Linked DNA regions of Callithrix jacchus. The protein of the gene in region 1 purifies or fractionates together with the protein of each later gene. This does not show direct contact. Links are inferred from orthologs where the notes say so. Each region holds a gene or a part of one and is shown in the gene's direction. Other genes may lie near its edges.

Region 1 (10,395 bases):
TGACCACAGATGCTGGATCCCCCATTCTCTCTAGACCAGCTGCAGAATGAGACACAATGGCCTCTCTTTCTCCAGGGCCCAGAGGAGGCAGCTGTGGGGCTGGTGGTCTGCAGAGCCTAACCACATTCTCCCCTCTATCTCTGGGCACTGGAGGGCATGGCACCCCTGCACCGGCCCCAGCTGCTGCCCTTCTTGGATCTAAGAGGTGACCCCATGCTGGTCAGTGACCCTGGCCTCTGTTTAGCCTGCCAGCCTGTAATGGGCTGTAACAGCCAGGGGCCGGGAGGGGCTGGGGGCATTGCAGCTGGAAGCCCAGAAGCCCAGGAAGTGCTGTTTGCCGCAGGAGTGCGTGCTGGTTGCTCCCCACCGCGGTGGATGCTGGGCTCCCTGGCAGCAGGGCCTGGAGGGAGGGGCCTCCCTCTGCTGCCGCTCACCATGGCAACATTCCCAGCTGGGCCCTGCAGGTGGGGGTGGCAGGCCAGGTCACCCTTCCCCCTCTCCGAGGGGCTACATCCCTCCTGGGCCTCCCTGGTAGACCCAGGCCTGCCTCAGGCACACCCACACACTGGTTGTAGGGTGGGCTGTCGGGGCTGTGGCTGGCCCGGGTCTGCGGCCTGGCCTGCAGGCATGCTGCCCACTGCCAGCTCAGCCCCAGCGCCTCTGATCTGGGGGATGTGAGCTGCTCCTTGAAGGGAGGCTCCAGACGCAGGAGCTCCTCTGCTGCCATGGAGACTGTTTCATTCCCTGCCTCCAGGGCATGCCCAGTCCCCTGGGAGCCAGCCCTAAGGCATGGCCACGGGGGAGGACCTTGTCCTGGTGGCCATCTGGGGACCCAGGTGGGGTAGCAGGTGAGATGCTCTGTGACCAGGAGCTGAATCCACATCTGCGCTGGGGCCAGGCCAGGGCTGAGGTCATCCTGAGACCCTGGGGGCCGGAGAGCCGCCTTGGCCCTGCTCCCCACCCTGCCACCACGCCCCCGTCAGCCTGTGGGCCGCCAGCCTCCACCTGCCTGTGGCGGTGGTCCTGGGGTGATAGCCTGGCTGTGCCCCATGCACAGGTGGCTTGTCAGGCACTCGGAGGCTATTATTAACCCGGCAGTGGCGTCACCAGCAGCCAATGGGAGGCAGGTTTATTTCCGGGGCTGACAGCTTGAGAGCGGTTAATTTTAGCTGCATCTTCTTTCCCAAGGCTCGTGAAACCCTAGCCAGCCAAGGGAGGGGTTGCCTGTGTCTCCCCAGACAACTCAGGGATGGTCCTGGGGGCTCTGGGAGGGGGCGAGGAGGGGCGGGGCCTCGCCCAGAGAAGCCCTGATTGGCTGGTGCCCTCTCGGCTCGCCATCCCCCTGCCCGCCCCCCAGGCTGTTGGTAAGGGAGGTACTGTGACCAGGGACTCAGATGCAGGAAGAGGGGCCCAAGACGTGACCTGGGGGAGGGCAGGAAAAGCACAGGCCATGGCCAGGGTGGGCCCCAGACTTCCATGTGGAAGCCATGCTGGCCTGGCTCAGGCCTCCTGAGCCCCTTACTTGCTGTGTGGCTTTGGACAGGAATCTTGGCCTCTGTGCCCAGCTGCCTCACAGGTTCTCAGTGTCCTCCGACAGCCTTGCGGGGCCTGCCTCGTGGCCTCAGTCCCTGCAGCTTCCACCCCCATACACTGTGCACACGAACAGCCCTGGTCCCTGTCCCCTGTACGCTGTGAACTCGCACAGCTGGGCGAGTTGGCTGTGGCTGGTTAGGAGGCTTGTATTCGAAGTCATTTGCTGCTACCCAGCTGCTGACAAAGCTTTTGCCTGCTTGTTCTGCTGTGACAGAACCTGAGACTGGGTAATTATAAAACTTTATAAATTTATAAATTCTGCTTATTATAAGTAAACAGAAGTTTGGAGTCTGGAGTCTGGGAAGTGCAGGGTCAAGGTGCCGGCATCTGCTGTGTCTTCAGGTGGGAGAAGGTGGAAGAGCAAGAGAACCCATTGCCATGAGCCCTGTTTATAGGGCAAACCCTTTATAACCCAAACACCTTCCCAAAGCACCAGCCCCCAACACTGTCACACTGGGGATTAAGTTTCCAACTCTGGGGACGTGGTCAGACCACGGCAGTTATTCAGCAGTGAGCGTTCCGTGGTTAGTGGTCCTTCAGCACTACTCAGTCTATGTGGTGGCTCAGACAATCAGTGTTGGCATTCAGCCTGGTGACTGCAGCTCCGTCAGCTGTGTGTTCCAAGTGTCTCTGGGTACTGGGTGGGCAGCTCTTAGGACCCTGAAGGGCAGCACTGTGGACCAAACGTGTCCTGGCACCCAAGAGACCCTTACCCAGAGTGAGCACACAGGTGCTGTGGGCAGGTTGCCACTTTCCACTCTCAGGGGCCACTCCTGTGGGTGGCAAGACCCCCTCAGCACATGTGAGCTCCCAGCACTGCTGTGGGTGAGCCAGGAGCCGGGGGGAGGGGTGTCTGGAAAAGGTAGCCTAGAGTCCTGGTGGTCCTTGGGGGAGTCGGGTGGGCATCCTAGGGATCCCAGCCTCCTGCCCAGTGTGATCCGCCCCAGCCGGGGCCAGTGGAACACCTGCAGCAAGCCCGCCCCCAAATCCCAGCCTAACCTTCGGCTGCAGGGGAGGAGATAAATATAGAGACCAGCTGGGTGGGGTGGGGTGGGCTTTGCTTTCTCGCCAGGCGGTTATTTTTATTTCTGGCTCCTGTTCGATGGCATCAGCAGCACTCAGAAGTGCTGGGGCATCTGGCAGCCCTCCCTGACTCCCCTCCTGCCTGTGGCCCTGGACTCCTATGGGGTGATGCAGCCACAGACCAGTGTCCTTCTGAGAGGCCCTCTCCACTGGCTGGGGAGAACTGCTTAGCCCCAGCCACTACCCTGGGCCCCTGCCTTTCCTTCTTCCTCACACCTGCCAGTGGGCCAGGCAGGGGTCTGGGCTCTGGGATCCCCATGGCTTTGCCCAGCGGCAGGTGCTAGGCTGGACCTGGTGCCTCCATGTCTGCACCCAGTGGGCACTCAGGGCTGAGAGGACAAGTGCCCGGGCTCTGCCCCCACTCAGCACACCCCTCCTGAAACTGCGCTGGCAGGAAGATCCGAGTCGGGGGCGGGGCAGTGTGGGAGGGTAGACTTGAACACCTGGGTGAGGTGACACAGTCTCGGGGTCTGGGAGAAAGTCCCTGATCCTGGTCTTCATGCAACACATGGTGGCCACGTCCCCTCCTCACAGTCCACACTGGGCCACATCCCCTCCTCACTACCCATGCTGGCATTACCCGTGTGCCCAGGACCTCAGGGACTCCCCACTTTCGACAGAGTGTGGCCGGGTCTTTGGCATCCTGATCTCATATGAGGATCAGCTGTAGGCACTGGGGTGCAGCCAGGTGGGGTGCTGCGCAGGGGGCCTGGGTGTCTGGACCTGAGTCAGGCCCTTGGCTGGCACTGTTTCCCAGCAGCGGCTGGAGGTAGGTGCACGGGGAGGGAGTGTCTCTGGAGGATGTCCCTGGGTCTGGGAGCGGGCTTCCAGCGTTCCCTGCATGGTGGGAGACCAGGGTCTCAGGGGGAGGGTGGTTTTGGGCTGAATCTGCCGGCAGAGCCTCTGGCCTATCAGAGTGCGTCCAGGAGGGCAGGCGCATGAGGACAGGGGCTGGAAACCAGCAGATTCTACCCTAAGGGTTCTACCCTGAGGCCTGAGCCCCGGACCTCATTAGGAAGAGCCCCTGGGCCCTGGGCAACCCCCAAGAGCAGGGCCTGGAGCAGCCGGTAGACCCAGGCCGGCCTCCCGGGCTGCAGTGCACCTGCTCCCCGGCCCCGCCTCCCGGGCCGCCGCGCGCTACCCTCGCCGCCTCCAGGCCTCCATCCTCCCGCGCAGCCGCCGCGCGCTCCTCCTCGGCCTCCCGCGTGCGTCCTCGCGGCCCGCACCTCCCGCATCCCCCCGCGTCCCCGCCCCCGCCCGCGCGCGTCCGCGTCCGCGCCCCGCCCCGCCCCCCGCGCGTTCCGCATTGCCGTGCTGCAGGGCGCGGTGCACTGCGCCGCCACCGTCAATAGGTGGACCCCCTCCCGGAGATAAAACCGCCGCGCCGGCGCCGTCAGTCCCTCTGGCTGAGACCTCGGCTCCGGGTAAGGACGCTTGGCCCCCGCCCCGCCCCCGCCAAACGCTGAGGGCCCCCCCGGGACTGGTCCTGTGCGCAGAGGGCGGCCGGGCCCCGCACCCACCCCGCGCGCCCGGATTCCGGCTCTTGGGGGACCCCGCCTTGGCCGAGCTGTGCCGGGGCGGGGGTTGGGGGCGGCAGGCCGGGTCCTGGGCTGCGATCGCCCTGTAGCCTTGACCTTGGGGCCGCGGGGACCCTGCGGGCCCGGGGCGCTGGGCCAGAGGACGCTGAGGGACCTGGTGAGACCTGGGGGCCCTCCCCACCCCCACCCGTGTTTCCACCCCAGGGTTTCCCTCCCCCAGCCACCTGTCCCCGAGGGGCAGTGTGGGTTTCCCCACTGACCTCTGCAATGGGACGGGGCTGTGACCCAGGGCTCTGACCAGAGAGAACGGTAGGGAGGGTCCCCCCATGCCCCCACGGGGCTGAGGGCATCTCCACCTGGCATTTTCTGGGATTAGCTGGGCAGGGTCCTCCCTCCTCTGGCTGGAACAGGGACCCCCACCTCCTGGCCACTGTCTGCCCCTGTGAGAGTGTTGGGGGGGGGCATCGAGCTCTTCTGGGTCCCTAATCTGGGCAGTGCATCTCCATCGGGGCTTTGGTCCAGCCTGCCAGGCAGGGATGAGGGGAAGATGGCGCCCTCCCTGCCTGAGGAGGGGAGTGGGGAGCAGTGGCCATCTCTCTGGGTGGCAGTGGGTGGGGGTGGGGTACAGTGTCCCTGGCCCTGCCCAGGGAGGGGAGCATGGAGGACAGGGCCCTGGAGCACTGGGCAGGTGACTCATCACCCAGCTCTGCTGGTCATGGGCGCACCCAGCTGGGCGCTGCGTGGTCCCTCCAGAACGAAGGCTAACCCCTTCGCAAGGATGGGTGGAGGGCTCCAGTGCCCAGTTATTTACAGCAGATGGGGCTGTTGGGGCTCCCGTGTGGGGTGGGGGCAGGGTACAGCCTCTATTGGCCCCTGCCAGGTCCAGCAGGGTGGTGGGGGGACTCTTCTCTCCCCACCAAACATGGGGGTTTGGTTTGTGGGCAGGGACGTGGGCCCAGCCTGGCCAGGACAGTCTCTGTGGGTCTCCCCGAGGCTCCTCACCACCTGTCTCCCCCCACCACTGGCCCCACAGAAACACTGCAGCCCCCCTCACCCTGAGCCAGAGCACCCCGGGTCCCGCCAGCCCCTCACACTCCAGCAGAATGGGTAAGGAGAAAACCCACATCAACATCGTGGTCATTGGCCACGTGGACTCCGGCAAGTCCACCACCACGGGCCACCTCATCTACAAGTGCGGGGGCATTGACAAGAGGACCATTGAGAAGTTTGAGAAGGAGGCAGCCGAGGTGAGCATGGGGGCTCTTCTCTTTGCCCCCTGAGAAGGAGCCCCCCAACTCCCAAGGTAGCCAGGCTTGGCATCTCCCCAGCCCCAGGCCATGTGGCTCAGGTTACCTCCTCCGGGGCAGGAGGGACCCCCGCTGTGGGGCACTCAGGCCTCAGAGGGGCCGGTGGGGCAGCATCTCTTGGGGGGAGCTTGGTGGGGGAGGGGTGACCATCGAACTGCCAGTCTTGCCCTGTGGTGAGGGAGGTGGCCTGGGAGGGTCTGCAGCCCACTTGGGCTGGGGCTGAGGACCCTGGAGCCTTGCCCCCTTCTCCCCAGGGCCAAGGCTGGGGCTGGGGGTGGTGCTGCCCTCACTTGTCCCAGGGCCCTGCCAGGACGCACACTGCTATTAATAGCTGAGTGATGGGCAGCCGGCCCGTCTGCTCCATTTTCTTTGCTGGGCTGTGGAGGCTGCTGTCTGGGGCGGCCCTGGGGTGGGGGTCCTGAATGGGGCGGCCCTCTGGCTGACCTTCTGAAGCAGCTCCTCTTTCGTGGCTGAGATGGTGGTGGGGGGCAGCCATGAGTAGGGATCTGTTCTGTGCCCCCGCCCCCCCGCTCAGGGCTCTGGGGAGAACCGCACTTCTGGGAGGGCCTGTGGGAGCTCTCACCTGGATGATGAGTGGGAGGCCAGAGCCCAGGAGGGCAGTCGCTGTCCTGGGCTGAGTCTCTGTCCTGGGGGTTGGGGCGCTCTGAGCTGCACCCGTTTGGGCCAGGAACCTGCATCATTCTTTACCTGGCCTCATTGGGAGGAGGTGGGGGTTTCGGAGGGCTCCTGGTTCAGGCCCCAGCTGGGTTTCATCTGGGTCCCCTTCAGGCTGGGCAGCCTCTTGGAGGGCAGAGTCCTGTCTCTTTGAGGCTCTGGAGGGGAGCTCTGCCCGGCTGAGTAGTGACTGGTGCCCACCTGGGTAGTGACCGAAGCTGCTGCCCTGACCACAGCCCATCCCCAGCTGTGGGGGTCCCACTGGGTGAGGCCCCCCAGCTTCCCCTGTTTGGCAGAGAGAGGAAGGGGAGGGGAAGCCTCAGAGGGACCGGGAGGCTGGAGCAGCAGGAAGGAGCTGTATGGCCAGGCCCTCCTCCTGACCTCATTCCACTTTCCTTTCTCCTACCTTTAAACAAATAACACAGAGGGTTATTTATCTGACAGCCCTAGACATGGTGGTATTATTGGCCTCTGGCTGAGGAAGGGATCTGGGGGCATACACAGCTTCAGATAAAGGGGAGCCCTCGCCAGGGAGGGGTTTATCCCATCTGGCGACTTCGTTCCGAGATGAAGTGACTCCCAGGCCCTCACGCCACCTGCTGGTGGACGTGCGTGGCCGCGCCCATTTAGGAGCCGGTGGAGAGGCCGGCCCTAGGGGGCAGGGTCTGGGTGTGGGTCAGAGGGGGCTGGCGACCCAGGACCCTGGCGGGGAGCAAGGGAGTGCTGGACCCCATCTCCCGTCTCTCCTGCCTGCTGGGCGGTGACAAGCAGCTCCCGCTGCCAGGGACTTGGGTCCCGGGTCCCGCCCTCAGCCGTGACCCCCACCTGCTCCAGATGGGGAAGGGATCCTTCAAATATGCCTGGGTGCTGGACAAGCTGAAGGCAGAGCGCGAGCGTGGCATCACCATCGACATCTCCCTCTGGAAGTTCGAGACCACCAAGTACTACATCACCATCATTGATGCCCCCGGCCACCGAGACTTCATCAAGAACATGATCACAGGCACGTCCCAGGTGAGCAGGGCACAGCAGCTGAGGCTGGGGGAGCGGCCGCTACACCCTTCAAAGAGACTGGGGTCCCCTGGGGTCACCCTGGGTTGGCTGGGACTCCTGTACTTCCTGTGAGGGCAGGGGACCCCTCATTGTGCCACCCTCATCCATCCTGGGTCAGAGCCCCCTAAGAACAAATCCAGTGCTTGTGAGGACACCTGGCCAGTGTCAGAGTCCCCAGGTAGACGGGCAGATGTGGACATGGACCCACGTTCATAGACAGAGGGGCTCAAGGCCAAGATGGGGATCCTGAGCAGTGGGCAGAGGTGCCACCAGCCAGGCCTGGACTGTGACATTTTGGAGCACTCACAGAGACGCACAGACACCCCAGACACAGCATCCTGCAGATGGCAGGACGCACACCACCACCTCCAAACTGCTTTGAGAACTATGACCTCAGTCTGTCCTCAAGTGAGGAACAGGACCAGAGAGGTGCAGTGACTTGTCCAGGGGCACAAAGCCCATTGGTGGTGAAGCCGGGGCTGAACCTCGGTCCCCTGACCCAAGGCCTGGTGATGAGGCCCTCGAACTGCCCTTGAAGTAGGGACCCCCATGTCTCCTTCCCCAAGGCCCCAGCGGGCTGCTCAGATCCCAGCCCACTGCCTGAATAAACCTGGGAGTGAGGTGAAGCTGGGCTGTCTCCATCCCCTGCCGGGCAGGTGGGGCTGGGATCACTGCATCCCCTGCTGGGCAGGTGAAGCTGGGCTCACTGTGTCCCCCGCTGGGCAGGTGAAGCTGGGCTCACTGTGTTCCCTGCTGGGCAGGTGGGGCCGGGCTCACTGCATTTTTGCCTGCTGGGCAGGTGAAGCCAGGCTCACTGTGTCCCCCAGCGGGCAGGTGGGGCCGGGCTCACTGTGTCCTCCACTGGACAGGCGGACTGTGCAGTCCTGATCGTGGCGGCGGGCGTGGGTGAGTTCGAGGCGGGCATCTCCAAGAATGGGCAGACTCGGGAGCATGCCCTGCTGGCCTACACACTGGGCGTGAAGCAGCTCATTGTGGGTGTGAACAAGATGGACTCCACGGAGCCGGCCTACAGTGAGAAGCGCTATGATGAGATTGTCAAGGAGGTCAGCGCCTACATCAAGAAGATCGGCTACAACCCAGCCACCGTGCCCTTCGTGCCCATCTCCGGCTGGCACGGTGACAACATGCTGGAGCCCTCACCCAACGTGAGTGGCTGACTGGGGCGGGGTGGGCCGTGGGGGCTGGCCAGACCCCTTGTCCCAGAGCAAGGCAGCTGTAGGTGGCAGGGGGAGGTTGAGAGCCTGTTCCTGGGACATGCAGGTTCCCCACAAAACCTGCTGGGTTTCCCTAACTGGCTCAGGGCCCAGCGGGGAGCCCCATCCCCCTCAGCACTGAGTGTTGCTCCTCCACTCAGCCTCCCACGAGGCTGGCCAGGGCCGGTCCCCCACGTCAGCGCTGCAGGGGCAGCGGCCTCCAGCACCAGGCCCATGAGCTTGGTCTCCAGGACCCTGCCATGGGGGTGCTCGGTTTCATCTCTGCCAGGCCTTTGTCCTGACCCTGGACACCGTGCAGGGGTTGTGGGCTGGGCCATGGGGGGCTCCCTGGCTGCCTCCCCGAGGTTTTGGAGCACAGTTGGGCTTTGGGAAGTGTGCAGTCTTCTGGGCTGACGGGGAGGGCCAACAGTTGGCTCTTGGCTGGTCAGTTGGCCGCTCACTGTGCGAGCAGCCTGTGGCTCAGGTACTCCGCCTTGGCTGGAGGTGATGAGTGGACACTTTCAGAACCTGAGACTGTGTTCCGAGGGTTCTCCAAGCCAGGGGACACCTCAGAATGGCTGCCATTGGGCTCTACCAGTGCGGTAGTTGCCCACAGTGAGGGTGCCGGCGTGAGAGTAGAAACAGCGGGGAGACTGAGACCAGCAGCAGAGCCCAGAGCTGAGGTCTGGGGACAGCTGACAGGGATTGCCCCAGCCCCACCTCCATCTCCTGTGGCTGGTGCTGTTTACCTGTAATGACACTTTCCTCACAGGCTATGATGTGGTGAAGGCCATCCTCTTCCTCCCCAGGGAGGCCGCCAGCCATCAAGGACCCCGCACTCCACACTCCCCTCTGGCCTGGACTGCTTACATAGGCCCTGGGGTGTGGGGCACAGTGTGGCCCGAAGGGAGGCTCTGTGGAGAGGGGACGGGGCCGTACGGGAGAAGCTCCGGGCAGGGCTGGGCTGAGCTTGAAGGCAGCATGGTGTCCAGGAGCTAGGGTTGGGGTGAGGCTTCCCCCAGCTCAGTCCCTAGGGGGCCCGGCCCTTGGCCCTTCCTGCTGTTCAAGTCGCCTGCCCCCCCTGGATCTGATGGTCAGGGGCCCCAGGGCTTGTGGCTGGACTAGGGGTTTGTTTCCAGTGTCAGCAACTCCTGAGCAGCCTGGGCTGGGAGGGACACTTTGTGTTTTTGTAATCCTCCTTTAAGAGAGGTGTCCTTCCAGGGTCCCTGTGATGCTGGGGCTGAGCTAGGGTGGAGCAGTGTGGGAAATTCTTCATCTCAAAGGGCATGAGGCCAGTTTAGCCTGAACAGAGGACTCCTGGAGGCAGCCCAGGGAGGCTGGGGAGGCCGAAGATGTCTCTGTGATGGACTGATTTTCTCCCTTCCACCCAGATGCCATGGTTCAAGGGCTGGAAGGTGGAGCGTAAGGAAGGCAATGCAAGTGGCGTGTCCCTGCTGGAGGCCCTGGATACCATCCTGCCCCCAACACGCCCCACGGACAAACCCCTGCGCCTGCCGCTGCAGGATGTGTATAAGATCGGCGGTGAGCCAGGGTGCTGTGCTGGAGACCTGCCTGGCCAGCTCTGCCTGCCCCAGACCAGGGCCCTATGAGGCTTCCCAAGACCAGGCTGTCTCCAATCTCTCCCCTTGCCACACACTTTCTGGGGGACATTCCATCCCCCATCTATCCATCCATCCATCCATCCATCCATCCATCCATCCATCCATCTCCCAACCCATCTATCCTCTCTATCCATCCATTCATCCATCTCCTAACTCATCCATCCTTCTCTCCATCCATCCATCCATCTACCTCCCCACCCATCCATCCATCCACCTCCCCATCCATCCATCCACCTCCCCATCCATCCATCCATCCATTCATCCACCTCCCCACCCATCCATCCTTCTGTCCATCCACTCATCCACCTAT
Region 2 (10,511 bases), on another chromosome or scaffold:
CTTTGTTGCCCAGGCTGGAGTGCAGTGGTGTGATCCTGGCTCTGTGCAACCTCCACCTCCCAAGTTCAAGCGACTTGTGCTTCAGCATCCCGAGTAGCTGGGATTACAGGCGTGCGCCACCATGCCCAGCTGATTTTTGTATTTTTAGTAGAGATGGGGTTTCACCATGTTGGCTAGGCTTGTTTTGAATTCCTGGCGATCCACGTGCCTCGGCCTTCCAAAGTTCTGGGATTACAGGCATGAGTAACTGCGCCTGGTCTGTTTCTATTTTTATTTTTTAAAATTATGGGTTTAGGGTCTTTGATAAAATATTCTGTAGACTTTTTATAGCCATCTGGGACTAAAATATATATATATATATATATATATATATATATTCCATAGACTTATAAATTTACAAAAATAAGGTATAATAACCATGAATGCAAATTAAAAAAAAATACTCACCACATCCTTTAGGAGACTTAGAAAGGCCTACTAAGGCCTTTCTTAGAGGTGTCCTTAACATATTGCTAAAAATAAAACAAAGAATTATATTATTGTAATGGAAAAAACTGTTTGGTAATGTTTATGGCTTTAAAGTATTTCACATACATTATGTCGCTGGTAATGTTTATGGCTTTAAAGTATTTCACATACATTATGTCGCTGAACATTCATAGGTTCTGATTTTTTCCCTTAAAGTCTGTAGATGAGAATTCTTAGTCTCAGAGACATAGACTTGTACAACGTCAAAGAGCTAAGCAGCAACAGCTATTGTATACATTTGCACTTTCCTAATTCTATGCAGAGAGGAGTTTTGTCATTTAAAAAAATTATTTAGAAAGGATCAAACTTAAAACACTACCACACAGTAAAATAAACTACAAGACTAACAGTGAGCTTATCACTAATGGTTATGTAAAATAAGGTCTACTTTTCTGCTTTCATTTCCTACCAATACCCATTCTATTATTTCATGTTCCAAGCATAGCTGTCTACTAAAGGCTCCTGACATTTTCTGAGATAGCTTGCCAGCCCAAGCCTTTGAGGTGTCTTGAGTGCTATTTTCTGATACACTTGTCTTACAGATTTCCAATTATGTGTTTATAAGCCCATTCTGCCCTCATTGCATTAACTCTTTGATTTTTCTATCTTCAGTACCTATCCAACAGGATGGCACAGAGTAAGCTCCTAAACAACAGTTCTCAACTGGGGACAATTTTGCTCCCCAGGGAGTATTTAGCAACGTCTGAAGACACTGCTGTCACAAACAGGGGGAAGTTACCAGCATCTAGTGGATAGAGGGCAGGGTGCCGGCTAAACATCCTACAATGTACAGGATAGTCCTCCACAATAAAGAATTATCCAAAGTATCAATAGTGCTGAAGTTGAGACACTGCGCCAAAAGGCTTACTGAATTACTGAAATAAATGGGGGTGGATTACATAAACACCATGACTCAAAGACAAACAACACAAACAGAAAGAAAAGTTACCGAAACTTTTTCTTTTTTTTGAGACGGAGTTTTACTCTGTTGCCCAGGCTGGAGTGCAGTGGTGCAGTCTCAGCTCACTGCAATGTCTGCCTCCTAGGTTCAAGCATTTTTCTGCCTCAGCCTCCTGAGTAGCTGGGACCACAGGTGTGCACAACCACACCAGGCTAATTTTTGCATTTTTATTATTTATTTATGTATTTATTTTTGAGAGGGAGTCTCGCTGTCACCCAGGAGTGCAGTGGTGTGATCTCAACTCACTGCAACCTCTGCCTTCCAGGTTCAAGTGATTCTCCTGTCTCAGCCTCCCAAGTAGCTGGGATTTACAGGCTCCTACCACCACCCCGGCAAATTTTTGTATTTTTAGTAGGACGGGGTTTCTCCACGTTGGCCAGGCTGGTCTTGGACTCCTGACCTCAGGTGATCAGCCTGCCTCAGCCTCCCAAAGTGCTGGGATTACAGGTGTGATTCACTTTGCCCAGAACATTTTTGTATTTTTAGTAGAGATGGGGTTTCACCATGGTGGCCAGGCTGGTCTCAAACTCCGGACCTCATGTGACCCACCCGCCTCAGCCTCCCAAAGTGCTAGAATTACAGGCATGAGCCACCATGCCCATCCAAGTTACCAAAACTTCTAAACTTGTTGGTTTTTTTTTTTTTTTACTTGATCACATAGGGTAAGCACTGACCTTTTTGCCTGTTTGCTTGATCATATAGGTTAAGCAAAATCACTTGGAACTTCTAAAGGTATTAAAAATGCAAATTGGCCAGATGAGGTGGCATCATGCCTGTAGTCTCAACACTTTGGGATGCCACCTCGAGGAGTTTGAGATCAGCCTGGGCAACACAGCAGGATTCCATCTCTGCAAAAAAAAGAGATGGGTGTGGTGGCATGAACCTTTAGTCCCAGCTCCTCAGGAGGCTGACCTGGGAGGATGGCTTGAGCCCAGGTGTTCAAGGTTACAATGAGCTTTAATCATGCCACTGCATTCCAGCCTGGGAGACAGAATAAGATCCTGTCTCAAACAACAAAAAACAAACAAGCAAAAAAGGAAGCAGCAAATTATATGATTAGAATGTATTAAAAAAAAATTTCGACAGTAAAGTTTCAATACTTGCAACAGTATTATTGGATAACAGTGCATATACATTGGTTTTAAGCACAAAATTCTGCACACTTATCACAGATGATGTACAACAGGAAATGTCATTAATTCAACATTTCGTTAATTAAGAATATGTGATACTGAATTTGCAAACATCAACTCTGTTTCCTGCTAGCGAGTAATTTTTGGTAAATCAGTTACTGGTTCTTTACTTACAAGGCAGGAGGAAAACAGTACTTCCTAGACTATGAGCTATTAGTAGGAGCTCAATAAATGCCAGTTAAAGCTGAATTCAACTTAGGCAGTACTGGTGGCCACTGACAATAAGTTTCTGTGTGGCTTTTTTTTTTCTTTGAGACAAGAGTCTCGCTCTGTCACCCAGATTGGAGTGCAATGGCATGATATCAGCTCACTGCAACCTGTGCCTTCCAAGCAGCTGGGATTACAGGCACCTGCCACCATGCCTGGCTAATTTTTGTATTTTTAGTTGAGACAAGGTTGGCCAAGTCGGCCAGGCTGGTCTTGAACTTTTGACCTCAGGCGATCCACCCACCTTGGCCTCCCAAAGTGCTGGGATTACAGGTGTGAACCACCACAGCCCACCGACAATCAGTTTTAAAGGGCTCTTTGTGCCTTTTCTTTAGTACCAGTACACACTGCATATTTATTTTTATCATTCCACTTACTAAACTGTAGGTTAGTAATCAATTTTAGTACCTATCAGACTGTAAGCTCCTTGAGGACAGAGTTTGCATATTTCCCTTCCTGAAGACCTAACACGGTATCACCAAGTTCTAGAAATGAGTAGCATCTGTCCTATTAAAAACTGATGGCATATGTATATTGTAAACCAAAACTTGCTGCATTAGAGCATTGACAGATTTGAAATCAACAATGAGTATTTCATTCAATTTTAAAACTTTAATACTATTTAAAATACGATATAACAATAGTACTCACTTTAGATAGGACATCAACTAGAACTAGGCTGTTGACACTAACATCAAAGCATAGACCAACGTAAGAAACACAGATTTGCAACACTTCCATATGTGCATTGAACACCAACATACCAAGTAGTAACAGAAATATTTGTCTCTGTAGATGGAAAAATGCTAATGACCAATCATTTCTAATACTGGACTGGATAACTTTCCGTATAGGGGCCATACTATTCCACGTTCTCCAACATGGATCCTGCATCCATCCAAGGTATACCCTATCCCAATCCACCATCATTCCTTGCCTGGAGTATTTCAATAGCTTCTTAACAGGTCACCAAACTTCCACACTGTTCCCACACAGCCCCTCCCCTCTTGCCACCGCTGTAACCTCAGACTGAAATGCTTTTCCCTCTCATCTTTCGGGCCACTCCTCATCCTTCACATCTTGGCTTAAAAACTTTCTCTCAAGGAGATTTTCACTGTCCAGCCTATCTAACACTTCCTGACGATTCCCCAGTCATATCACCTATTTTATTCTTCTTTACGAACGTATTCTTGGCTCGTAAATGTTCAATAACTGTTAAGTGAACTGAATCTCTAATTTCTGGCCGTAACTTGCACAGAGCACTTCCCCGGATTTAAAAAGTGCAGGTGCTCTGGCAGCCTTAACTCGGTGAAAACAAGAGTATTCCGCAAAACAAAAATAACTGTTTACTTATCAAAAGTTACCGTTACACTTCTATACTGTCAATTCGTGTGTGAAGCGTTGTGCCTGATTCAAGATCTTACAGTATAAGCATTAGATCCCAAGAACGTGTAAACAACGTTTTGTTATTCGCAATGCAATCCTGGGCTAACTTTTCAAAAGTCCTTTTTCTCAATTTCCCCGCCAGTGAAAGGAATAAAATGCTGTCCAACGTGGTCAATGGACAAAACAAAATCAACAAACAGAGGCGTGAACGAAAACGCAACAGCGACTAAACAATCAGGCACTGTACCAGCTGTGTGGAAATCTGGGGGGACAGGCTCGGTCTTAACGCCTAAGTCATCGGACACTAGTTCTCTCCTGGGGAACAAAACGTCCTCCTCCTCTGAGAGGGCAATGTCCTGAATTTTCACTGCAGAGGAAAGGTCGCCTGCAAGCGTGCATTCGGGCCAGCGTTCCCAAGTGTCCCCTGATCCTCCTCTTCCTTTCTGCTTCATCAGACCAGACTCCGTGGCTAAAAGCCCCCACATGCCGGTTCTCAGGGGCTTCTGAGGCTGCGGAGCGGGAGGCGGCGCCCCAGTCAAGGACAAGAGAAGAATAAGTCGCGTGGGCCAAAGGAAACAGTCCCGTCAAGAAATAAACCCCTGGCCGAGACGCACCTCACCCTTCCCATCCATACAAGACCTCACCTTCTCCCCGGAGCCGCGAAGGCTGTTTGCTAAACTGTCCGGACCACAACGACCCTTCGGAGACCGGGTCGCTCACTTAATATGGCGGCCTCAGCTAACTCTGTCACCCGGGCCTGGAGAACGGAAAGCCCGGAGGGACTAGAATCCTCGCATTCGACAAGTCTGTCGGCAATTTCCGTCAGCCGACCCGAGGGCGGAGCGGAGGTCGGCCCAGCAGGGAGGCGGGAAGGACAACTTGGACCCGCAGTTCCGCCGGAAGTGGCCTGTAGCCCCGTGGCCGAGCGTCTTTGGTCATCTCCGGCGTTTCAAGGGGTGGTTCTCGTTATCTTCCGGAGCTGTGGAGGTTCGAATTTAAAACATGCCAATTTTATTAATTTATTTCCAAACGCAACGAAGGGTCCAGGGACAATTTGTGGGCCACTTAATTTAGGGCCCCCAATTCGTACGTGGAGAAGTGAGAATGCCAACGTACTTTGACCTTTAACCTTTGGTCGGGATCGGTGGAGGGAAACGCCTCCGTCTCTATATAAGGAATTTTCCGGCCTCTCTAGGCCCTTTTTTCTCTTTGAGCGCGGGGTGCTGTAAGCGTATGCTCTGTCTCTCTGCTGCTCCCCAGCTCTCTTGATACAGCAGACGTCATGGGTTTCGGAGACCTGAAAAGCCCCGCCGGCCTCCAGGTGCTCAACGACTACCTGGCGGACAAGAGCTACATCGAGGGGTGAGCGGACGGGCCGAGACGGGATGGTGAGGAGGCTGGTCGGACCCGGGGCCACGTGGGGCAGCGTCGGTTGCCCCGGGAGGGAGGGAGGATGAAGGGTTAGCGCCTCTCCTTGCCATCTCCCAAGGCCCGCGTGTGGTGCGAGCCCGGGCTCCGGGGAGCGGTTCACTAGCAGTAAAAGGTTGAAATGTACTTTATTTACACTTAATTCAGCCAGGTGTCGCCGTGTCGCTGCCCAGTTAGTAAAATATTGGACTGTAGATAGAGCAATGCTAGAGATTGCAATCGTTGAGGTCTACTAAGTGGGAAGACATTTCTCAGGATAACGTGGCGACCCAAGGATGGTTTGATTTTAAGGAGCTGATAAGAAAAAAAAAAATCATTAAAGCACCCCTGCCGGGGCTAGTGCCCACTAATTAATGTGATGCATACAGCATTATTTTCGCTGGCGTTTGTCTTTCAAAGGTGTGTATGAACGTTTCTGTGTCATTGGCAGGTATGTGCCATCACAAGCAGATGTGGCAGTATTTGAAGCAGTGTCCGGCCCACCGCCTGCCGACTTGTGTCATGCCCTACGTTGGTATAATCACATCAAGTCCTATGAAAAGGAAAAGGCCAGGTAAAATCATCTTTGTGTCTAGCTGAGCAATAAGGCTGCTCTCGAAGTTAATCAGGATGTTCACATGACAAAACTGGACCCAGGCTACTTTAGCTTTGTTGGGATATTATGAGCTAAATTTTTCAGTAACCTTAGAAGGCCAAGAGACTGAAGTCCTCCATTTTTTCACAGAACAGGTAGAACATGGACAACAGCAATTCAGCTTTTCCCCACACTGCCCTGCCAATGTGCCTCGACCCTGACCTGGGGGGCCCACCTCTGGGGTGAGAGGGTGGCTCATTCATTCAGTCCTTGGCCATTCTTCTGAAACTGCCAACAAGGGTGGAAGTTTGGGGAAGTGGACTGCATTTCACTAAGAATGGAACTGAGCATACTTAATGAAATTTCAAACAGAAATGTGTATACTGAAAGAGTAAATCGTAGTGAGTATTGAAAATCCTGTCTCACATGGGACTAATGTTTGTCGAGTGACCAGTCGAACATATGACAGTGTTTACCTGGGAGTATGTGAAAGGGTAAGTTATTGCAAAAGGGATCTAGTGATAAATAGTGATTGAAACAAGTTATTTTGTATTGTCTGGAAAAGGTTGTTATACTAGCTCAGTAGTGGTTGAATTTAAATGTTTTTCAAGCCTGCCAGGAGTGAAGAAAGCTTTGGGCAAGTATGGTCCTGTGGATGTGGAAGACACTACAGGAAGTGGAGCTACAGATAGTAAAGATGATGATGACATTGATCTCTTCGGATCTGATGATGAGGAGGTATGGCATCTTCTATAAAGAATACATCGGCTGGGCGCAGTAGCTCACGCCTGTAATCCCAGCAATTTGGGAGGCTGAGGTGGGTGGGTCATGAGGTCAGAAGTTAAGAACAGCCTGGCCAAGTTGGTGAAACCCCATCTCTACTAAAAATACAAAAAAAATTAGCCAGGTGTGGTGGCAGGCACCTGTAATTCCATCTGAGGCAGAGAATTACTTGAACCCAGAAGGTGGAGGTTGCAAGGAGCTATGATGGTGCTCCAGCCTGGGTAACAGAGTGAGACTCTCTCAAACACACACACACACACACACACACACACACACACACACAGATCGGCAATTTATCAGTGTGGATAAACCAAATTGCCTGGTGAGACTCTGTCTCAAACACACACACACACACACACACACACACACACACTGATCGGCAATTTATCAGTGTGGATAAACCAGATTGCCTGGATTTGAATCCTGGTTTTGATTTATATGCCTTTCTCAATTCTGACTGGTTGCATGATGAATAAAATCAAATCACCATCTTTCGGCTGAGTTCGTGATGTATTTGCTTTTTTCTGATAAGGCCAGTCTTTTTTGTGATGACCCCACTAGTTTTAAGCAGAGGAACAAGTGGCTTTCTGAAAAAATGGATTAATTTTTTTCTTTTTTACAGGAAAGTGAAGAAGCGAAGAGGCTAAGGGAAGAACGTCTTGCACAATATGAATCAAAGAAAGCCAAAAGTAGGTCATTTATTTCATAATAATGTAAGTAATGTTTTTCAGAGTCGTCCTTGAAGTAATTTCCTTCACATTCCTTGAATAGGTTAATGTTGAAAACCTCCTGTAGGTGTTCTTCCACAGCTACTGGTCTGCAGCTGTTCTTACGGTAGCAGTTGTGGCATTCCTCTGTGGGAAAGAAACTGTTAACACAATTAAACACCTCTTTCTTAGCAAAACAGAAAGTGGGCATATGTGTGACAGACACAAGATGTATCCGTTGTTTCGACTAAGGAGATAGTCGCTCTCAAAACAAATTGAGATGATTTGTTTGTGTCTTAGAGTAGGGTGAAAAAAATGTAATTCATTATTTGAATAATGCTGTTTGTTTTTTAGAACCTGCACTTGTTGCCAAGTCTTCCATCTTACTGGATGTGAAACCTTGGGATGATGAGACAGATATGGCAAAATTAGAAGAGTGTGTCAGAAGCATTCAAGCAGACGGCTTAGTCTGGGGCTCATGTGAGTTTAGGCATTGCTTTTTTTTTTAACTGACATCTGGAATTTTCATACAGCTTCAGTTCTTTCTCTACAGGACTTTTCTAACTAAGATTTTTCTTAATGCTCTTTTTAGCTAAACTAGTTCCGGTGGGATATGGAATTAAGAAACTTCAAATACAATGTGTAGTTGAAGATGATAAAGTTGGAACAGATATGCTGGAGGAGCAGATCACTGCTTTTGAGGACTATGTCCAGTCCATGGATGTTGCTGCTTTCAACAAGATCTAAAATCCATCCTGGATCATGGCATTTAAATAAAAGCTTGAAAGATTACCTATGGCTTTTGAGTATGTTATATAGAGGGGTGGTGTGTATATTCCTTTCATTTTGAGGGAAGGAATTAAATGAATATGGGATTCCTAAATAATAAAAATTTGGTTCAGCATTGTTGTTAAAAAATGGTAGTGCAGGCCAGGTGCAGTGGATCACGAGGTCAAAAGATCGAGACCATCTTGGTCAAGAAGGTAAAACCCCGTCTCTGCTAAAAATACAAAAATTAGCTGGGCATGGTGGCATGCGCCTGTAGTCCCAGCTACTCGGGAGGCTGAGGCAGGAGAATTGCTTGAACCCAGAAGGCGGAGGTTGCGGTGAGCCGAGATTGTGCCATTGCACTCCAGTCTGGGTAACAACAGCGAAACTCCGTCTCAAAAAATAAATAAATAAAATAAAAAAATAAAAATGGTAGTGCAGGCTGGGCGTGGGGGTTTATGCCTGTAATCCCAGCACTTTGGGAGGCTGAAGTGGGTGGGTCGATACCAGCCTGAGCAATATGGAGAGACCCTGACCCTACAAAAAATAGAACACTTAGCTGAGCATGGTGGTGCACCCAACCCTATATTCCCAGCTATTTGGGAGCTTGAGGTGGGAGGATTGCTTGAGCCCAGGTGGTTGAAGCTGCAGCGAGGTGAGGTTGTGCCGCTACTCTGGCCTAGGTGCCAGAGCAAGGCCCTGTCTCGAAAAAAAAAAAAAAAAATTGTAGTGCAACTTTACCCGCTTGTGATGTCCTTAGCAATGCCTGATGACGTGATTTATTGTAACCCAGCATCTTCGCATTGGGATCAGTCGTTGGCTGGAAAGCAATGATTGCAAATCTTAGTTGAAGATATAACGTGTGACACTGCTAGAAGACACCTAACCCAGAGGAGGGAGGGCTTCCCAGAATTTGGCATGAATTAAACAACTACTTAAAAGTTTACAAATTTAAAATAATGACTCATGTTGTAAAGAAATCATCTTTTAAGAGTTGGGAATGTGATTTGGAGTAACACTGTGTGCTAGGAGGGGATTATATAGCTAGCTGGTTCCCAGGCTTCCCAGATAAACTTCACTTTCCTGTGATAATTCATAGCTGCTTGATTGTGGGCGTGGAGTATTTTACTTGGATTTGGAAATCTGATGTCCTCATGCTGCAGGTAAATACTGGGATGAGGGTAGTAATTTGAGTAAAGTGATAAGCATTGGAAACAGCTTCATTTTGACAGTGAATTTGGGGTCTGGCTAACGTTTGATAGGGCGTTTTTTTTACGGTAGTTTTACAAAACTAGTGCTTGGGAATTGCTGATCTCAAATGATCAAAAATTTTTAGGTCAATTTTTTAATAGATCTAGACAGTGTGTGGTGGCTCACACCTGCAATCCCAGCAGTTTGGGAGGCCGAGATGGGTGGATCACAAGGTCAGGAGTTGAGAGACCAGCCTGGCCAACATGGCAAAACCCCATCTATACTAAAAATACAAAAATTAGCTGGGGCGATAGGGCGAGACTCTGTCAAAAAAAAAAGAACTAGACAATGCTATTTCCTCTCAATCTGATATTATGTTGTAACTGCCTTAACTGTGGAAAACTGTATTATAAAGAGGATTTAACAGATGCATGCATTGAATAATATCTCTAAGCAATGTTTATAGTCCAACCAACACAGCCTAAAAGTCATGGGAGGCCGGGTAGAGTGGCTCACACCTGTAATCCCAGCGCTTTGGGAGGCTGAGACTGGCAGACCACCTGAGATTGGGAGTTCGAGACCAGCCTGACCAACATGGTGAAACCCTGTCTCTACTAAAAATACAAAATTAGCCAGGTGTGGCACATGCCTGTAATCCCAGCTACTCGGGAGGCTGAGGCAGGAGAATCGCTTGAACCTGGGAAGTGGAGGTTGCAGTGAGCCGAGATGGTGCCATTGCACTCCAGTCTGGGCATCAAGAGCTAAACTTCGTCTCAAAAAAAAAA
Region 3 (9,915 bases), on another chromosome or scaffold:
ACCTGGTCTCCAAGTTTGTTTACATGAGAACAGATTGAATACTTAAAAAAAATAAAAATTAAGATGCAGTCTTGCTCTGTCACTCAGGCTGGAGTACGGTGGCGTGATCTTGGCTCACTGCAACCTCCACCCACCTGGTTCAAGTGATTCTCGTTTCTCAGTCTCCTGAGTAGCAGGGCCTACAGGTGCACACTGCCATGGCTGGCTAAGTTTTTTGTATTTTTAGTAGAGACAGGGTTTCACCATGTTGGCTGGGCTGGTCTCAAAACTCCTGACCTCAGGTGATCAGCCTGCCTCAGCCTCCCAAAATGCTGGGATTACAAGAGTGAGCCACTGCACCTGGCCATAATACCTTGTAAAACACTTAAGGTTGCCACATTTTTTTTCCTAGTTAATATGGTTTAAACAAAATAATTAGTTTATTTATTTATTTTTGAGACAGAGTCTCACTCTGTTGGCTAGGTTGGAGTTCATTGGCATGATCACAGCACAACCACAGCTCAGTGCAGCCTCAACCTCAACCACCCAAGTAGCTGGGACCACAGGTGCATCCACCATGCCTGGCTTTTTTTTCTTTTTGCAGAGACAAGGTCTCACTATGTTGCCCATGCTAGTCACCAACTCCTGGGCTCAAGCAATCCTCCCACCTTGGCCTCCCAAAGTGTTGGGGTTATAGGCATGAGACACTGCGCCTGGCTTGAGTTGTTTAATCTATCTAAAGTTACTTTTTGTGACTATTGGGAAAAGGGAGATTTTTTTTCCCCAAATAATTAGCTCATTGTTCCAAACAAATATTTTGAATAGTTTCTCCTTACTTTACTGATAGGAAGTGCCACCTTTCACAAATACTAAATCGACTTGTATCTATTTCCAGATACCATTTTCTTCCTATTTAGTAACTTATTTCAACAATTAGAACTTTTGCTATCCTGTTTGACAGGAGCCTCCTCTTTGTTCTTTTTTTTTGAGACAGAGTCTCACTCTCACCCAGGATGGAGAGCAGTGGCACAATCTCAGCTCACTGTAACCGCTACCTCCCCGGTTTCAAGCAATTCTCATGCTTCAGCCTTCCAAGTAGCTGGGATTACTGGCATGCACCACTATGCCTGGAAATTTTTGTATTTTTGGTAGACAGGGTTTTGCTATGTTGGCCAGGCTGGTCTTGAATTCCAACCTCAGGTGATCCACCCACCTCAGCATCCCAAAGTGCTGGGATTACAGGCTTGAGCCACCACGCCTGGCCTCCCTGCTTCTTTAGAGTCCATTGACTCCCTGCCTGAAGCCTCTGCTTCCTTTGGTGCTAGGCTCCACTGGCCTGGCTCACTCTCTGGTCCTCCATGCCCCATAACAGGCACCGCATGCGTGGGGAGACCACCCTCTGGAACCCTGGCTGTGACCACGCAGGCATTGCCACTCAGGTGGTAGTGGAGAAGAAACTATGGCGTGAGCAGGGGCTGAGCCGGCACCAGCTGGGCCGCGAGGCCTTTCTACAGGAGGTCTGGAAATGGAAGGAGGAGTGAGTATGCAGCATTCCTGTGGGCATCGCAGGCCTGCCTCCTGTCTGCTATCCAGAAGACCTCTGTCACCTGTAACCCCTGGCCAGAGGGTCAGACCCTCAGAAGCAGAGTCAGTTGTCTCTAGGGCCCAGGTCAATTTCAGTGGGATGAGTGAGCTCCATGCTGCCCCATCAGCCACCTGATGTCTCCCTCCAGCCCAGGCATGAGTGCTGGCACCAGCCTGTCTGTCTACTTCCAGGAAAGGTGACCGGATTTACCACCAGTTGAAGAAGCTTGGCAGCTCCTTGGACTGGGATCGAGCCTGTTTCACCATGGACCCTGTACGTGGGAGGGTTCTCAAAGCTGGAGCAGGAGTAGGAGGCTTCCCAGGGTGGGACCCCCACAGAAGAGAGCACAGGTGCTGCAGCCCTCTCTCAGGAGGTGGCCCACATAAAACACCATGGAGGGCTCAGCTACAATCACCACTTCCCACCCCTTGCCATAGCCTTTTCTATGTCGTAGCCCTTCCTGTTCCCTGTCTCGGCTCTGGGACCTCCAGATTCCTCCAGATTGCACATGATCAGGACCCCACCTCCCATGGAGCCTGAACCCCTGGGGTCCTCTGCAGCAGTACTTGTCCCCAGCTGAGTGTCTTCCCCGCCATCTGCAGCATCACAAGACTTGTGGCCTGCTCTTGTGTTTCCTTAGTCCCCTCTCCCCCTCAAGAAAAATACTCCCTTCAGAGGGGTCTTTGTACTGGCCAGTGGGACTCTGTATGGGCCAGGCTTCACTGGACCTCTGGCTGTCTGCCTGGGCCTCCAGACACAAGGCCCATCTCTCTGACTTCTCCCTGCTCCACTCCAGAAACTCTCAGCAGCTGTGACAGAGGCTTTTGTCCGGCTTCATGAGGAAGGTGTCATCTATCGCAGTACCCGCCTTGTTAACTGGTCCTGCACCCTCAACTCCGCCATCTCTGACATTGAGGTGCGCCCCCACCTGGCCTGTCTCCATCTCCAATCTACCCTGGCCCTGGCCCTGGCCCCTGGCCCACGCCTGTAAATACCCATTTTACAGGTGGATAAGAAGGAGTTGACAGGCCGCACCCTGCTCTCTGTGCCTGGCTACAAGGAAAAGGTGGAGTTTGGGGTCCTCGTGTCCTTTGCCTATAAGGTCCAAGGCTCAGGTAGGAGCCAGGGGCACCAGGATCCTGGGCTGGGAGTGGCAGTAAAGGGCCAGGGCCCAGACCACAAGGCCTTTTGTCACCCCAGATAGCGACGAGGAGGTGGTGGTGGCAACAACTCGGATTGAGACAATGCTGGGAGATGTGGCTATAGCTGTGCACCCCAAAGATACCAGATACCAGGTGGGGGACTGTCCACAGCTGGGGAAGGAATCCTGGCCAAAAAGGGCTCCCATACTTACTGGGGTGGAGGGGTTGGGCTGAGGCCCCTGCTGAGGAGAGGAAACTGGGTTAGAAACTGACCTTAGCTTCTTTCCAGCTGTGACGGGAGAGCTGCTGGGGACTGTTTGAGGGCTTTCAGGTATTGGGACAGTCAGGGCCCTGGAAAAGAAGGACTTGGGCCTAGCCATTAGTGCATTTTTAAAGGTCTCACTGTTAACCAGGCTTGTCTTGAACTCCTGACCTCAAGGAAGCCTCCTGCCTCAGCCTCCCAAAGTGTGGGGATTATAGATGTGAGCCATTATGCTAGGCTCCTTCATGCATTTTTTTTTTTTTTTTTTTGAGACAAGAGTCTCACTCTATTGCCCAGGCTGGAGTGCAGCTGACACCATCTGGGCTCACTGCAACCTCCACCTCCCAGGTTTAAGCAGTACTGGTGCCTCGGCCTCTAGAGTAGCTGAGATTACAGGCACGCGTCACCACACCTGGCTAACTTTTTTTATTTTTTGTTTTTGTGTTTTTGAGAAAGATTTTCACTCTGTTGCCAGGCTGGAGTACAGTGACGCTATCTCACTGTAACCTCCACTTCCTGGGTTCAAGTGATTCTCCTGCCTCAGCCTCCCAAGTAGCCGGGACTATAGGGATGTACCACAATCCCCACAATCACATTATACAATCTTTTTTTTTTTTTGAGACGGAGTTTTGCTGTTGTTACCCAGACTGGAGTGCAATGGCACGATCTCGGCTCACCGCAACCTCCGCCTTCTGGGTTCAAGCAATTCTCCTACCTCAGCCTCCCGAGTAGCTGGGACTACAGGCGCACACCACCATGCCCAGCTAATTTTTGTATTTTTAGTAGAGACGGGTTTTCACCTTGTTGACCAGGATGGTCTCGATCTCTTGACCTCGTGATCCACCTGCCTCGGCCTCCTGAAGTGCTGGGATTATAGGCACGAGCCACCGCGCCCAGCCAACAACCTTTTTTTTTTTTTTTGAGATGGAGTCCCACTCTGTCACCTGGCTGGAGTACAATGGCTTGATCTTGGTTCAGTGCAACCTCCGCCTCCTGGGTTCAAGTGATTCTACCTCAGCCTCCCAAGTAGCTGGGACTACAGGCATATGCCACCACGCCCAGCTCATTTTTGTATTTTTAGGAGAGATGAGGTTTCACCATGTTGGCCAGGATGATCTCCATCTCTTGACCTCATGATCTGCCTACCTCGGCCTCCCAAAGGACTGGGATTACAGGAGGGAACCATGGCACCTGACCCCACTTGATGCATTTTTTAATATCTTTTTCTGCTTCCAGCACCTGAAGGGGAAGAACGTGATCCACCCATTCCTGTCTCGGAGCCTTCCCATTATCTTCGATGAATTTGTTGACATGGAATTTGGCACAGGTGGGCAAGGGGCTGGTCCTGTGGGGAGAGGAAGAGATTGGAGCTGCACCCTAGCTGTCCATCTTCTCTCAGATAAAAAGAAAATAAGCTTCAGCCAAATAGGCAGAGCTTGGGGTGGTTCTCAAGGGACCGTATTAGATAGGTAGAGGCCAGAAGTGGTCTCAGAGCTATATCCTTCAGCAAAAGAGGTGAGTGTAGGAAGGAACTCCATGCAGTCTCTCATGACCCAGGCACCCATATGTATACTCAGGTGCTGTGAAGATCACCCCCGCACATGACCAAAACGACTATGAAGTTGGGCAGCGGCATGGGCTGGAGGCCATCAGCATCATGGACTCCCGGGGGGCCCTCGTCAACGTGCCTCCGCCTTTCCTGGTGAGGTTGCCTGGGGCATGAGTGCCCGGGTCGGGGAGATGGAGGGGTGGCTGGGCATTGCCATGATGAGGCCTTATTTCTACCCAGGGCCTACCCAGGTTTGAGGCCAGGAAGGCAGTGCTGGTGGCGCTGAAGGAACGGGGACTGTTCCGTGGCATCGAGGACAACCCCATGGTGGTGCCACTTTGCAAGTGAGGGTGGGGGCCAGGGAGGGGAGGGAGGTGGAGGGCACCTCAGGGTTTCACCTCCTGGCTTCTCACCTACGTGTACCTGCAGCCGGTCGAAGGACGTAGTAGAGCCTCTGCTGCGGCCGCAGTGGTACGTGCGCTGCGGAGAGATGGCCCAGGCTGCCAGTGCGGCCGTGACACGGGGAGACCTCCACATCCTGCCTGAGGCCCATCAGCGCACATGGCATGCCTGGATGGACAACATCCGGTGTGTAGGGCCCTCCGTGTGGGAGGGGCAGGGCTTGGGCTGGGCTCCACCAGGCCCTCTCTGATTTCCCCACCCCCACATTTGCAGGGACTGGTGCATTTCCAGGCAGCTGTGGTGGGGCCATCGCATCCCAGCATACTTCGTCATTGTCAATGACCCAGCAGTGCCCCCTGGGGAGGTGAGCAGAGGGCCAGAGCTGGATGCTGGGACACTTGGGGGAGTGGTGGGTTTATTGGGTCGTTGGTTGGGAGGAGGGGCAGGGTGAGGCAGAAGCAGACACACCCTCTTGTGTAATCACTGCACGTGCGGCAGGACCCTGACGGGCGGTACTGGGTGAGTGGACGAAACGAGGCAGAGGCCCTGGAGAAGGCGGCCAAGGAGTTCGGAGTGTCCCCTGACAAGATAAGTCTCCAGCAAGGCAAGGCAGGGCCTTGAGGGTTTGGAGGGAGTTGAGGGGGCAGAGCTCCACTCCCTCTAACCTCTAACCTTTGGCCTGTCTCAGATGAGGATGTATTGGATACCTGGTTCTCCTCTGGCCTCTTCCCCTTTTCCATCTTGGGCTGGCCCAACCAGGTGAGTTCCTGGGGCCAGGGCAGGGCGGGACAGGGGACTAGAGGTGGGGTGTTGGTTTCCCTTCACACCCCGGTCTGTCCTCAGTCAGAAGACCTGAGTGTGTTCTACCCTGGGACACTGCTGGAGACTGGTCACGACATCCTCTTCTTCTGGGTGGCCCGGATGGTCATGCTGGGTCTGAAGCTCACGGGCAGACTGCCCTTTAGAGAGGTGCGGAGACAGCCAAGACCCTCCCACAGCCCCCAGCCTCCAGCCTCCTCTCCTGCCCTCCTCTGCTGCAACTTGGGCCCCGAGTGGCTGGGACATGGGGTTGGCTGTGGGCCAGCGTGGACGGAGAGCTGGTGGGGGTTGAAATCCAGCCTGGTCCCTGCTCAGTGATTCCTGTGCCCCAGCCCAGGGCTTCGTCTTCCCAGAGGAGGGAGTACTTCTGATTCACATAAAGGCGCTGAATGAGCTCTTGGGGACACTTAGTGGGGCCTGTGGTTCATAGTTGGGTAGACCAGACACAGTCTTGGCCAGGCACTGAGGCTGGGGATGAGGTGACTGCATCTCACGGGCCTCCCCACCTGCCCTGCAGGTCTACCTCCATGCCATTGTGCGAGATGCTCATGGTCGGAAGATGAGCAAGTCTCTAGGCAATGTCATCGATCCCCTGGATGTCATCCACGGAGTCTCCCTGCAGGTGGGCTGGGTGCTGGGACAGCCAGGAAGGGCTGTAGGGCTGTGGCCAAGGTGGGCTGGGTGCTGGGACAGCCAGGAAGGGCTGTAGGGCTGTGGCCACAGCCACCTGACTGCTCCCATTTCAACCTCAGGGCCTCCATGACCAGCTGCTGAACAGCAACCTTGATCCCAGTGAGGTGGAGAAGGCCAAGGAAGGGCAGGTATGGAGGGTTGAGCTGGGCTGAGCAGGAGCACAGCGTGGATGGGACTGGCTGAGGATGCTCCTCCCCCTGCCTCTTCCCTGTAGAAAGCTGACTTCCCAGCGGGGATTCCCGAGTGTGGCACCGATGCTCTCCGGTTTGGATTATGTGCCTACACGTCCCAAGGTAAGGCGCCCAAATCTTTCCTTCCGGCTACTCCTTCCGTGAGGCCATCCCGTCCTCCACCCTGAGCCTCTGGTGGGCATGGGCTGGGAAGAGGATGCTGAGGACTACATCTCACCCCTGACCTAGGTCGTGACATCAACCTGGATGTGAATCGGATACTGGGTTACCGCCACTTCTGTAACAAGCTCTGGAATGCCACCAAATTTGCCCTCCGTGGTCTTGGGAAGGATTTTGTGCCTTCACCCACCTCCCAGGTAAGGGCCTGATGGGCAGCAAAGCTGGCAGCACCCACACAGGCTGCACCCCTGTCCAGAGGGGCTTCCATGTAGCTGGGGGGACAGATAGACACAGAGACAGTTAGAGCTCTAGAAAGCTCTGGAAAGCCCAGGGCATTGGGGGCTGGGGCCTGTCATTTCTCCCCAGATCCTGGCACATACATGATTACTTTGGACTCATCAGACTTTGGGTGAAGATTTGGCCATGACTCCTGCTCCCAAGGGGTTATGGTACCCTCCCCTGGTGCACCAGCTGATACACCCTCTCTCCCCAAGCCCGGAGGCCATGAGAGCCTGGTGGACCGCTGGATCCGCAGCCGCCTGACAGAGGCTGTGAGGCTCAGCAACCAAGGCTTCCAGGCCTACGACTTCCCGGCCGTCACCACTGCCCAGTATAGCTTCTGGCTCTATGAGCTCTGTGACGTCTACTTGGTGAGAAGGAGCAGAGTGGGGCAGGGGACGGCAGGGGCAGGTGGACAGCAGAGCCCTGGGCTCAGCTTTGCCAGAGTTGGCTTTGAGACCTAAGCCAATCCATCCCCTTCCCAGTCCTCCCAGGCACAGCCAGGGCTCAAGGCTAGACTTCCAGCCTTGAGTTCTGTATTTCTAATCCCCTAGGAGTGCCTCAAACCTGTACTGAATGGGGCGGACCAGGTGGCAGCTGAGTGTGCCCGCCAGACCCTGTACACCTGCCTGGATGTTGGCCTACGCCTGCTCTCGCCTTTCATGCCCTTCGTGACAGAGGAGCTGTTCCAGAGACTGCCTCGGAGGACGCCGCAAGCTCCCCCTAGCCTCTGCATTACCCGATACCCGGAGCCCTCGGAGGTATGGCCTGGCCTGGAGAGGGGAGTCTGGCCTGCCCTCCAGGTCCCCTTACCCCCTCCTCCACCCCACAGTGCTCCTGGAAGGACCCGGAGGCAGAAGCCGCCCTCGAGCTGGCGCTAAGTATCACGAGAGCTGTGCGCTCCCTTCGGGCTGACTACAATCTCACCCGGATCCGGCCTGACTGTGAGCCTCAGGCCCCGATGTCCACCCCATCCCACTGTCCCCTCAGCCTACTCTGGGACCCAGTGTCCAGCAGTGGCTGCTTGGTTTCCTGTCTCCACGGAGCCAGGCCTCACCTTTCTCCCTCCCCTGCAGGTTTCCTGGAAGTGGCAGATGAGGCCACGGGTGCCTTGGTGTCAGCTGTGTCGGGCTACGTGCAGGCACTGGCCAGTGCAGGTGTGGTGGCCGTCCTGGCCCTGGGGGCTCCCGCCCCACAGGGTTGCGCTGTAGCCCTGGCCTCTGATCGCTGCTCCATCCACCTGCAGCTGCAGGGGTTGGTGGACCCAGCGAGGGAGCTGAGCAAGCTGCAAGCCAAGAGAGTTGAGGCACAGCGGCAGGCCCAGCGTCTGCGGGAACGCCGTGCTGCCTCAGGCTACCCTGTCAAGGTGCCCCCTGAAGTCCAGGAGGCAGATGAAGCCAAGGTGTGTGGCATGGGTGGGCATTTCCACCATCCGCTTCCTCCATCAGAACCTTGGTCTGGGCTGGTCCAAGGGCTGTGGTATTGACAAGTAACTGATCACAACCAGTTATAGATTTCTTTGTTCCTTCTCCACTCCTGCCAGCCTTAAAAACAAAACAGGCCAGCTCAGTGGCTCATACCTGTAATCCCAGAATTTTGGGAGGCTGCGGTGGGTGGATCACTTGAGCCCAGGAGTTTGAGACCAGCCAACATGGTGAAATCCTATCTCTACAACAAAAATACAAAAATTAGCCGGCCATAGTGGCACACACCTGGGGTCCCAGCTACACGGGAGGCTGAGGTGGGTGGATTGCTTGAGCCCGAGAGGCCAAGGCTGCAGTGAGCCAGCGTCGTGCCACTGCACTCCAGCCTGGGCGACAAAGAGAAGACCCTGTCACACACACACACAAAAACAAACAACAAAAAAAACAACAACCCGCAAAACAAAAACAAAAGCCAATCCTGGTCTGGGAGCTGGAATCTGTGCTCAACCCTGCGGAATCCACTGGGAAGAATGGAGCCCAGGCCTTATGAGCAGGAACCATGGAATGGCCCCTCCTTACACATGGGGAACAGCTCTGGGCTGGTCACAGCCCAGGGTCACACAACAGGTCAGAGATGGAGGCCGACCTAGAACCAGGCATCCTGTCTCCCAGCCAGACCCTTCATTCCCCACCTGCTCCCCGAAATATGGAAACCTGCAGGCCTGGGCTGGGCTTGGGATCCGCATGGCGTCAGGGAGCCCTGGACTTCCCACCACTTACTTTCAAGCCTCCTGGGTTGACCCTGGAAAGCCAGTCTCATTTGTCCCCTGCCTCCTGGGTTCCGCCAGAGAGAGGCAGTGGAGTAAACTGCACAGACACAGAGAAAACCAGTCATCTAGCTCAGGAGGCCAAGAGCTAGAGAGCCTTGAGTGGAAGTAGTTCATCTCACATGGTTCTCCCAAGAGCCTCGGGAGGGGGTCAATATCCTCTTCATCTGACAAATGAAGTGACCTTCCTGGGAGCCTGTGCTCTACTCAGGTGGGGACCATGGGTGGGGGCATGTATGCCCTGAGTCTCCTTTGTTCTTGGGGACTGACCACTCGGTGGAAAAAGGCAAGACCCAAGAGGTGGAAGTGGGGATGCTGGTGGGAATGGGTGGGGAGCCTGGCCAGCCAAGCACGTGCCTCCTCTGAGCCACTGACCCCCCATGGTCCTTGCTCATCTTTGTAACTTTGCTCTGGGCGTGTGGGTGTCCCTTTGCTTGGACCTGGGTCCTCACCCCACCCCCACCTGGTTCCACTTCAGCTCCAACAGACAGAAGCAGAGCTCAGGAAGGTGGATGAGGCCATCGCCCTATTCCAGAAGATGCTGTGATCCACCACCCAGCTTCACCCCTCACCTCCAGCAGCTTACCACAGGGTGGCAGCAATA

The links.
Region 2: the proteins of EEF1A2 (region 1) and EEF1B2 purify together in Homo sapiens (co-immunoprecipitation; 4 studies listed by BioGRID and IntAct, counting the BioPlex papers as one, with this or other methods). This does not show direct contact. The link is inferred for Callithrix jacchus from reciprocal best matches to the Homo sapiens genes EEF1A2 and EEF1B2.
Region 3: the proteins of EEF1A2 (region 1) and VARS1 purify together in Homo sapiens (co-immunoprecipitation; 3 studies listed by BioGRID and IntAct, counting the BioPlex papers as one, with this or other methods). This does not show direct contact. The link is inferred for Callithrix jacchus from reciprocal best matches to the Homo sapiens genes EEF1A2 and VARS1.

What each region holds. Positions count from the first base shown.
Region 1 is NC_133506.1:58,975,205-58,985,599, reverse strand, and holds the start of EEF1A2 (elongation factor 1-alpha 2), read left to right. Parts: upstream 1-4,074; 5' UTR 4,075-4,371; intron 4,372-5,247; 5' UTR 5,248-5,317; coding exon 5,318-5,461; intron 5,462-7,030; coding exon 7,031-7,210; intron 7,211-8,118; coding exon 8,119-8,415; intron 8,416-9,854; coding exon 9,855-10,005; intron 10,006-10,395. UniProt on the Homo sapiens protein: Translation elongation factor that catalyzes the GTP-dependent binding of aminoacyl-tRNA (aa-tRNA) to the A-site of ribosomes during the elongation phase of protein synthesis.
Region 2 is NC_133507.1:127,553,783-127,564,293, forward strand, and holds EEF1B2 (elongation factor 1-beta), read left to right. Parts: upstream 1-5,202; 5' UTR 5,203-5,262; intron 5,263-5,535; 5' UTR 5,536-5,557; coding exon 5,558-5,637; intron 5,638-6,133; coding exon 6,134-6,256; intron 6,257-6,888; coding exon 6,889-7,015; intron 7,016-7,517; exon of another isoform or gene 7,518-7,596; intron 7,597-7,682; coding exon 7,683-7,749; exon of another isoform or gene 7,750-7,995; intron 7,996-8,121; coding exon 8,122-8,247; intron 8,248-8,359; coding exon 8,360-8,514; 3' UTR 8,515-8,557; downstream 8,558-10,511. Other genes in the region: NDUFS1 (NADH-ubiquinone oxidoreductase 75 kDa subunit, mitochondrial), read right to left, coding at 448-508. UniProt on the Homo sapiens protein: Catalytic subunit of the guanine nucleotide exchange factor (GEF) (eEF1B subcomplex) of the eukaryotic elongation factor 1 complex (eEF1).
Region 3 is NC_133505.1:39,286,468-39,296,382, reverse strand, and holds part of VARS1 (valine--tRNA ligase), read left to right. Parts: intron 1-1,351; coding exon 1,352-1,516; intron 1,517-1,755; coding exon 1,756-1,837; intron 1,838-2,360; coding exon 2,361-2,480; intron 2,481-2,570; coding exon 2,571-2,679; intron 2,680-2,764; coding exon 2,765-2,859; intron 2,860-4,204; coding exon 4,205-4,295; intron 4,296-4,545; coding exon 4,546-4,670; intron 4,671-4,757; coding exon 4,758-4,861; intron 4,862-4,946; coding exon 4,947-5,105; intron 5,106-5,192; coding exon 5,193-5,283; intron 5,284-5,417; coding exon 5,418-5,523; intron 5,524-5,607; coding exon 5,608-5,678; intron 5,679-5,762; coding exon 5,763-5,888; intron 5,889-6,255; coding exon 6,256-6,360; intron 6,361-6,490; coding exon 6,491-6,559; intron 6,560-6,645; coding exon 6,646-6,724; intron 6,725-6,850; coding exon 6,851-6,978; intron 6,979-7,275; coding exon 7,276-7,431; intron 7,432-7,614; coding exon 7,615-7,821; intron 7,822-7,892; coding exon 7,893-8,004; and 5 more. UniProt on the Homo sapiens protein: Catalyzes the attachment of valine to tRNA(Val).